2 linked regions of the Nothobranchius furzeri genome follow. The protein of the gene in region 2 interacts with the protein of the main gene of each other region in a pairwise test. Links are inferred from orthologs where the notes say so. Each region holds a gene or a part of one and is shown on either strand. Other genes may lie near its edges.

Evidence for each region.
Region 1: the proteins of pld1b (region 2) and astrocytic phosphoprotein PEA-15 interact in a two-hybrid assay, tested with the Homo sapiens proteins (2 studies listed by BioGRID). The link is inferred for Nothobranchius furzeri from reciprocal best matches to the Homo sapiens genes PLD1 and PEA15.

Annotation. Positions count from the first base shown.
Region 1 is NC_091742.1:81,270,785-81,275,374, reverse strand, and holds the start of astrocytic phosphoprotein PEA-15, read left to right. Parts: upstream 1-1,656; 5' UTR 1,657-2,021; intron 2,022-4,590. UniProt on the Homo sapiens protein: Blocks Ras-mediated inhibition of integrin activation and modulates the ERK MAP kinase cascade. Inhibits RPS6KA3 activities by retaining it in the cytoplasm. Inhibits both TNFRSF6- and TNFRSF1A-mediated CASP8 activity and apoptosis.
Region 2 is NC_091747.1:63,413,719-63,417,535, reverse strand, and holds part of pld1b (phospholipase D1), read right to left. Parts: intron 2,823-3,817; coding exon 2,680-2,822; intron 2,610-2,679; coding exon 2,501-2,609; intron 2,428-2,500; coding exon 2,362-2,427; intron 2,208-2,361; coding exon 2,149-2,207; intron 1,800-2,148; coding exon 1,707-1,799; intron 1,378-1,706; coding exon 1,225-1,377; intron 1,158-1,224; coding exon 1,008-1,157; intron 1-1,007. UniProt on the Homo sapiens protein: Function as phospholipase selective for phosphatidylcholine. Implicated as a critical step in numerous cellular pathways, including signal transduction, membrane trafficking, and the regulation of mitosis.

The sequences.
Region 1 (4,590 bases), on a different chromosome or scaffold from region 2:
TGTGTGTGTGTGTGTGTGTGTGTGTGTGTGTGTGTGTGTGTGTGTGTCTGGTATCAGACACAATTTCGAAAAGAGTTCCTACTCTGTTTCTTTTATTTGTCTTTTGAACATTTCCATGACAGTCAAAACAGTCACGGGAAGCACCTTTGAAGACCAACCAGCATTTGTGGGCATGGCCAACTTGGCAGAGCTGACAAGTGCAGGACACAAAACGCTGATGAAGACACCAACACCTGGTGACACTTCTGCAGAAGACTGTAGTTTACCATTAAACATGTCATAGTAAAAATCTCTTTTTTAAATTACATTTCTGAAAAAAAAAATAGCCTAGATCCGAATGGCTGGTGTGGAAGCGGCCTCAGCCTGAGACTTTTGGAATTATTTGGACACCTTCTCAGTGGCCTGGTGGTAGAGTGTCCGCTCTGGGAGCTCAGGGTTCAAATCCTGGTTGGGTCATTCCAAAGACTTTAAAAATGGGACTCAGGGCCTCCCTACGTGACAATCAACTTTAAAGAGGTTGGATTGGGGTGTTAAACTACCAAATAGTTCCCGAGCGCATGTACAGCTGCAGCTGCTCCCCACAGGGATGAGTCTGATGCGGAGATGAATTTGAATTTCACCAGTGTGTGATGACTATTGGGACTTTAACTTTAAATAGGGCAAGCTGTGGTATTGAATGCAATCAGAGATCATCCAAGAAGTCTGCTTCATTTTATCAGCAAATGAAATGACAATTCTGTACTTTATTCCACTGGTGGAATGGGGGAAAATGCTGTGCATTTAACATAACACTGCTTGGACTAACGTCCTAGTAGGGACGCTGGCTGGATAAAAAAACTTGCGCGGGTGAACAGCGTTTTCTGTGTTCTGGCTGGGAACTGGCGGCTGGCTGCTCCTGTTTCCCAGGGCAGCTGAGCCATGCAGCTGTCTGGCTGCCATGCAAGGCTGTGGTCATGATGGTCACCTGTGGAGCTCTGAGGGAGGTGGTGCAAACCTCCCGTTTTGTTTAAAATTATACATTAAGAGATTATATATATATATATATATATATATATATATATATATATATATATATATATATATATATATATATATATATATATATAGCCAGTACACATCGGGAGAATCTCAGCTGTGGAGCTTCTTCTGGGCTGTGCTCCTCGCTGAACCCGTGAGATCACAAAATCCCTTGAGACGTCATGGTTTGAATCACCATGATAGTCTGGACTCCATTTAAACCAGTGACGTCTGCTGCTGTTGCACGCCACTGATGCTTCCAGTGTGAAGTAGGGGAGAGTGACAGAGTCCTGAAATGACTCATTCTGGAAAGTACTGAAATTGTCAAGAAACTGAAACTGCTTTATGTAATAGGGATTTTGAGCAAAAACTTGAACATGTTTTAAAGATTAAAGTTTGATTTTCATACCCTAGAACTATCAGGATCTAACTATTCGTAATAAGTCTCCTTGAAATGCTGCAAGCAAATATTTATAACAAATATAATTAGCAAGACAATTTCAGAGCGAGTTTTTTTTTAATAGACAATCTCTGAACAGAGTCAGACAGCGTGCTTTACCGTGAGAGAGAGAGAGAGAGAGAGAGAGAGAGAGAGAGAGAGAGAGAGAGAGAGAGAGAGAGAGAGAGAGAGAGAGAGGCGTTTCCACGTTCCAGGTTCCAGCAGCAGCCGGTCTCAGAGCAGCAGCAGACAGCGCAGCAGCACTCGGACTCTCAGCGGAACCACGACTAGCCCGAACCCTCAGTGTCACCATCCCCGAACTCCGGCTGCCAGCCGCCCTGACCCGCGTCTCCTTCACGAACTCTGAGAAACTCACTCACGTTCACCACACGAAGACGCAAAAAGCGCTCCAGGCGTGACTGAGAACCGGGGTGGACCTTCAGAACCACGTCTGTCCCCGCGGCTCCACACCGACATCTGGCTCCCAGAAGACCGAGAGGAAACTATCTTCCCGCTGATTCCCACCTCATCTCCCTGTTAGCTGACCCAATCCTAGCGTGTTAGGGTGAGTAAATCTGTTTCCTCCATGTTTCTCCACCCCTGGACGTCCCAGACCTCCCGTAGTCTGTTATTTTACTTTATGGCACGAATCCGCTCTCAGCCTACTCTCCTCATTCATGCTGGGAGTCACACCGACTCCTCCATTCACGGAGACGGTCTCTTCCCTCAGTGCATACCGTTACATGGCGACCGTTAGAGGATACTTCACAGCCGCCGTGGAAAACGGAGCTTTCCTGCTTTGTTCTAGCATCTAGTACTGTTGCAACGATTTTAAACTCCAATGACTTATTTATCGAGTCAAATTAAAGTAAAGTGATTTTCGTCAGATGATAAGTGGCTCAGGTAGTTGCCTTTTTCGTTTATTAGAGGCTGGTTTGTGAATGGTCCCGTCTCTGGGGGGCTTTTAACACAGCAGTGGGTAAAGTAATTGGATTGGGATTAAAGTGGCTGACAGCATTCATGTATCCAGTGTCCTTTATTTGCCCAGAATCTCCATGGTAGTGCGGCTCTGACCATGTTCTGCTGCTGAAATCACAATCATGTTACATAACAACAGCCTGCAAGGACTGGCTTTCTTGGGTCGTTTAGGGAGAGATGTGTGGCTCTCCTGGGGTCCAGTGGAGCAGATTTTATAGAATATTCTGGATGTGCATCAAAATGAATGTTCAGTCTGGGGAAACCTTTGGTGACCCACCTGTGATTGCTAGGTGTGTGTGTGTGTGTGTGTGTGTGTGTGTGTGTGTGTGTGTGTGTGTGTGTGTGTGTGTGTGTGAAGATGTTTTTTTATGAATGGATGCAGCTGCACGACCAACTGTATCCGTACAGGAGCAGTGGGAGATGACCGGATGCTTTTTACCTCTACCGGTTCCTTGTTACTATCACCAAATCTTCCTACATTTCTCTTCTTTTGTCAAATGAAGTAAGAAAAATAAGCTCATTAGTAGTAAACAAGGCATGGTTTAAAGAAAGCCATTCCTTTTCTTCTTTGAGTTTATCGTTAATGTTTTCGAACGTTCTGTTTTTAGTCACAAGAACAGCCTCTATCCAGCTAATTGAGAGCAGCAGACTATTTAATTCAAGCATAGATTACTAGAATTACATCTACGACACTGACGCAAGTCTTGAACGGTGCAAAAAACAAAAGCTGAGCTCCAGTTTATTAAAATTACCTGAAATCTGGAACTCCAAATGTCAGACATTACTGACCAATCCTGATATTCTATTTCCAGTCCAGTAATGTGTGTTTTATTTATGTTTATGTTGGTTTTGTATTGAAGTAAAGAAAGAGGAAAGAAAACGATCTTTTATTTAGCTCCTCTCAAGATAAAAATCACGCTTCACAAAAACAAAACATTTATAATATAAAGAATATTTTAAAAAAGGATTAAAAACATGTTTCAAAATGACAAAAAATAAATAGAATTTTGGATAAAAAATGCAAGGAAAGGGAGAGAGAAAATGAACAGGAAAGAGGGAAATCGTTGGATGAATAAGTAGAAAGAGCAGAATAAGGAGAGGGTGGTGATGAAGGTCACGCTGAAGCCAGCCTGAACAGGTGAGTTACTCCATCATACTCACATTACCATCCAGCTCCTATTTGTTTTCATCAGCTTTTGGTGGATCTGTGTGCTCTTCAGAGTTGGACAAGTGTTGACATGGCAACCAGAAGCAGCCTGTTTTTACTGTCTCTTCTTTGTCCTGTTTATCCAGATCCAGGTGCTGTTGAAAAGTTCAGTAACTGAGTGTTAAAGAAATAAATGTGCTAAATATGCTTTGGGAGAGTCTTTAGCCAGTTCTAGAATAATCTATCTTTGAATGATGATGTGTCCTTCATGTAGATAAAGCAGGACCATACGGGTGTTTCAGTGTTTTTGTTGGAATTTCTTTGTAAAGTGGTAGGGCTGTGTCGTTGTTGAAACTCCTAACTCTCACCGATATAATTTTTACCGTGCCAATAAACTCGGCCAAAAAAAAATGTAAAGAAGTGTGTGGCTTGGTGACATTCATGTCCTTTTAAAGCCTCTTTTCGGAGTATTTCTCTAATCCGATAGCACCATCTAGTGGCTGACAAGCATATCACACAAATAATTTCTCCTTCCGTTTGTTTAAGGTGGCGACTTCATGTTTCTTGTTTATAAACGCGCTTCTGTAGCCAACAAACGGAGCTAAAACACGTTGTTTTACGAGTATTATTCTCATGTCATGTTGTGTTCTCATATATTTATATTTTAGAGACTGAGGCCTAGTCCACACGTAGCCGGGTTTTTTTAAAAAAGATTATCCGCCCCTCCAAAAACTTGCATCCACACCACCTCGTTTTAAAAAAACTGTCCACACGAACCCGGATAAATACGTTGTTAAGGACATGCCAGACCTGTCGGCGGCAGTACTTCCCCCGTTCTTAACCTCGTCCTTCATCTGTGGTCTTCCGCAAGGAGCAGTAATTCCGCTTGCAAAAACAAACAAGCAAAAAGCACTTGGACAATTGATAAAGCGAGCGCAGCTCTGAGGGCATACCATTTTTCACGTAAACAGGTCCCACACGTGATGTCAGCATTTTTTTGTCGCGGAAA
Region 2 (3,817 bases):
AAACAGGAGGTCCAGCCTGGACATAATTCTGCTAGCTGGTTGCTATAGTTACTAGGGATGCTCCGATCTGATCAGGTGATTTTGAACGGACCAAAATCAGGTGGGAATAATCTGATTTAACCATTTAAAACAACAATCCATCCTGAGAAAGATTATAAAAGGCTTGGTTTTAATTCACCAGTGCTCTGTTTCACAGACAACCACACCGTAAAGCCCCACAAGTTAAGGTAGCTCGGGAGATAACAGGTCACACAGAGCACACTTGTGGCCTCTAGAGAGAGAGAGAGAACGTCTGTAAGTTGGAGGTATTTTAAAACAAGCAGCAAAAGGAGTGTAATAGACGCGTGTAATGTGTGCAAACTGGGCATTTACCACGATGGAACTGGTTTTGCCATGTTCAACGCTACAAAGCTGATGCACCACCTTAAAAAAACTCTTCCTGCTCAGTTTGCTGCAACAATGCGGATAAGCCCGTCGACACGAATAAAAGATGTGTCAAGAAATGAAAGTCTACGGACAGCAGCACCTCCCACCGGCGAGTGTCCGGTTGCAATCGCGGGTTCTGCAGTCTGCGTGGCTCACGGGAGGATCGGTGTTCTCTTCCTACCTTTACAGACGCAGCAGCTCTACAGGTGTTATGTTGAAAAGAGTGACCCTGTTGCTTACCGTCATGTGCCCTGCCATCCCTGTCACTCAATACAGCGCACGCTGAGTAAACTATTAGAAATGAGGCTACTCTTTGATTTGTTCTTCATATTAACACGTTCCTCATTAATATACTTCCTAAATAAGTGATGTTTTATGTTAGATAAACTAAAGAAACGACAGAAATACAAGAAATAAGCACATTAGTGATCAAAAGATTAAAGGACAACTCTGGTGTGTCCTTTTGTCTTAATGCATTTCTTAAGTATCGGATCGGGACTCGGGATCGGCAGACTCTTAAAAAAAAGACTTGGAATCGGATCGGGAGGAAAAAACCTGAGAGGAACCTCCCTAATTGTTACCATTTGGCAGGGATGTTCTTTTCCTCCATGGCGAAAGACCCGAAGCGGTGGTCCTTGAGGAAGGCGGCGCCGTGCTTCTTGGAAAAGCAGTCGATGGCCTGCCCCCACCAGCGGGCGTGTCTGTAGCTGGCACACTTCAGCACCAACGACCTGCACACACACAATGTTCAGCAGCGCTCCGTGTTTCCGGTGGGACCAAGAAAAACGCTGCACACACCTGGAGAGGCTGTCGATGCGGAGGCCATGTTTGGTTTCAGTGTCTTTGAAGTCCATCTTGATGCAGAACTCCTTATCGAACAGCATCACGAAGGAGATGGCGCCCGAGTCGAGCTTCATGTAGAGCAGGAAGGAATCCTTCACCACCAGCCAGCTGGACACGGAGACAACAGGTCCGTCATCACAGAGACAACAGGTCCGTCATCACAGAGACAACAGGTCCGTCATCACAGAGACAACAGGTCCGTCATCACGGAGACAACAGGTCCATCATCACAGAGACAACAGGTCCGTCATCACGGAGACAACAGGTCCATCATCAGATCAGCCTTAAAATGGGGCAAACTGTGGCTCTGAAGACCTGGACCATCGGAACTTGTGGTTCTGGTCCAATTAAAACAACGAAACCTGCCCTGTTTACCTCTCTAACAAAACAGTGCTTAATTTATGATGTAATGTTCTGGGTGGTCTGCATGGACTGACCGTTTGGACCAGCGGTAGCACATCTTGCTGTGACCAAAGCAGTTCATGCCGGGAATCCGATGTCCACCGGATCGTTTCTGCACCATTCCTTCTCTAGAAGACACGAGGAACACTCAGGGGGTGTGGCTAATACCCGGTTTATCTACCTCTACTCTTCTAGATTATATACATGTGTATACAATCAGTAGTACATTAAAAATGTTTACTCAGTAATAATATTTACTCTGAAGATCAAAACTTTCCATCAGCTCAGAAATCCTCAGACATGATTTCAAAAACATCACTGAGAGAGTTATGAGATTATATTTGAATAAAATCCTCATTTAACCAGATTATTTAATCTCTGTAGTTTTCCGTTATTTGATTAAAGTCAATAATTAACTTAAGTTTGTGCGTCAAATCTAAAACTGAAGGATGAGAAAATTTAACAGATTTTCCTTACAGTCCTTTAGGTCCGAGGTCATGGATGAAGGACAGCTGGCTGACGTCCATAAACTCCATCTGCAAACAGGGTGTGTGTGTGTGTGTGTGTGTGTGTGTGTGTGTGTGTGTGTAAATATAGAATATTTTACAGTTGAGGATGTTTGTTTTCTACAGTTTTAAGGATAAAAACATCAGAAAAGTATTTTTTTCTGTTTAAGGTTGTGGATCTTACGGTGGCGTAGTAGTTCCTGTACATCTGCATCTTCAGCAGCTTGTTCAAGTAATCTTCTAGTTGTTTCTGATCAGAAAACAAAAATAACGACTTCAACAGAAGCAACCCAACCCAAGCGGGTCTCTGATCAGACACCAACCCTGCGGCTGGCTACTTGTTCTTCTCTCCCCAGCTCCTCTGCTCTACCTCTGGGGAGGTTTGGCATCTGCCTCACCTCGCCTCTTGATATCGTCCTCCTCACCGTGTGACTGCAGAGATTAAATCAGTAAGGGGGTTGTTGGTTCGAAGCCCGGGACAGAAAACATGAAGACATTTTACCTGCGTGAAGGCAGCGGAATTCTCATGAAGGTCTTGTAGGTCCTCAGCTCTCTGTGGAGGTCCACAAAGTGTTTCTCCTTCTTCTTCACCTCCCAGGTGAACTCTCCATGCTTCAGCTCGATCTTGTAGACAGCCGGCATCGACTGCAGGAGGAGCAGTTAGTTAGCGGGTTACTGACCCGGTTAGTTTCTCTGCTGCTCGGGTTTCATCAAACAGGAGGCTGAAGGAGGCTCAATGCTAACAGCTAGTCCACACTAATAGCTAATCAACGCTAACAGCTAGTCAATGCTAATAGCTAATCAATGCTGACAGCTGGTCCATTCTAACAGCTAGTCAATGCCAATAGCTAGTCTGAACTAATGAGTAGTTAATGTTAACAGCTAGTCCATACTAATAGCTAATCAATGCTAACAGCTAGCCCATGCTAAGAGCTAGTCTGAACTAATGACTAGTCCATACTAATAGCTAATCAATGCTAACAACTAGTCAACGCTAATAGCTAGTCTGAACTAATGACTAGTCCATGTTAACAGCTAGTCCATACTAATAGCTAATCAACGCTAACAGCTAGTCAATGCTAATAGCTAGTCTGAACTAATGACTAGTCCATGTTAACAGCTAGTCCATACTAATAGCTAATCAACGCTAACAGCTAGTCAATGCTAATAGCTAGTCTGAACTAATGACTAGTCCATGTTAACAGCTAGTCTGAACTAGTGACTAGTCCATGTTAACAGCTAGTCCATACTAATAGCTAATCAATGCTAACAGCTAGTCAATGCTAATAGCTAGTCTGAACTAATGACTAGTCTATACTAATAGCTAATCAATGCTAACAACTAGTCCATGCTAACAGCTAGTCTGAACTAATGGCAAGTCAATGTTAACAGCTAGTCCGTATTAATAGCTAATCAATGCTAACAGCTTGTCCATTCTAACAGCTAGTCAATGCTAATAGCTAGTCTGAACTAATGACTAGTCCATGTTAACAGCTAGTCTGAACTAGTGAGTAGTCCATGTTAACAGCTAGTCCATACTAAAAGCTAATGAATGCTAACAACTAGTCCATGCTAACAGCTAGTCTGAACTAATGGCAAGTCAATGTTAACAGCTAGTCCATATTAATAGCTAATCAATG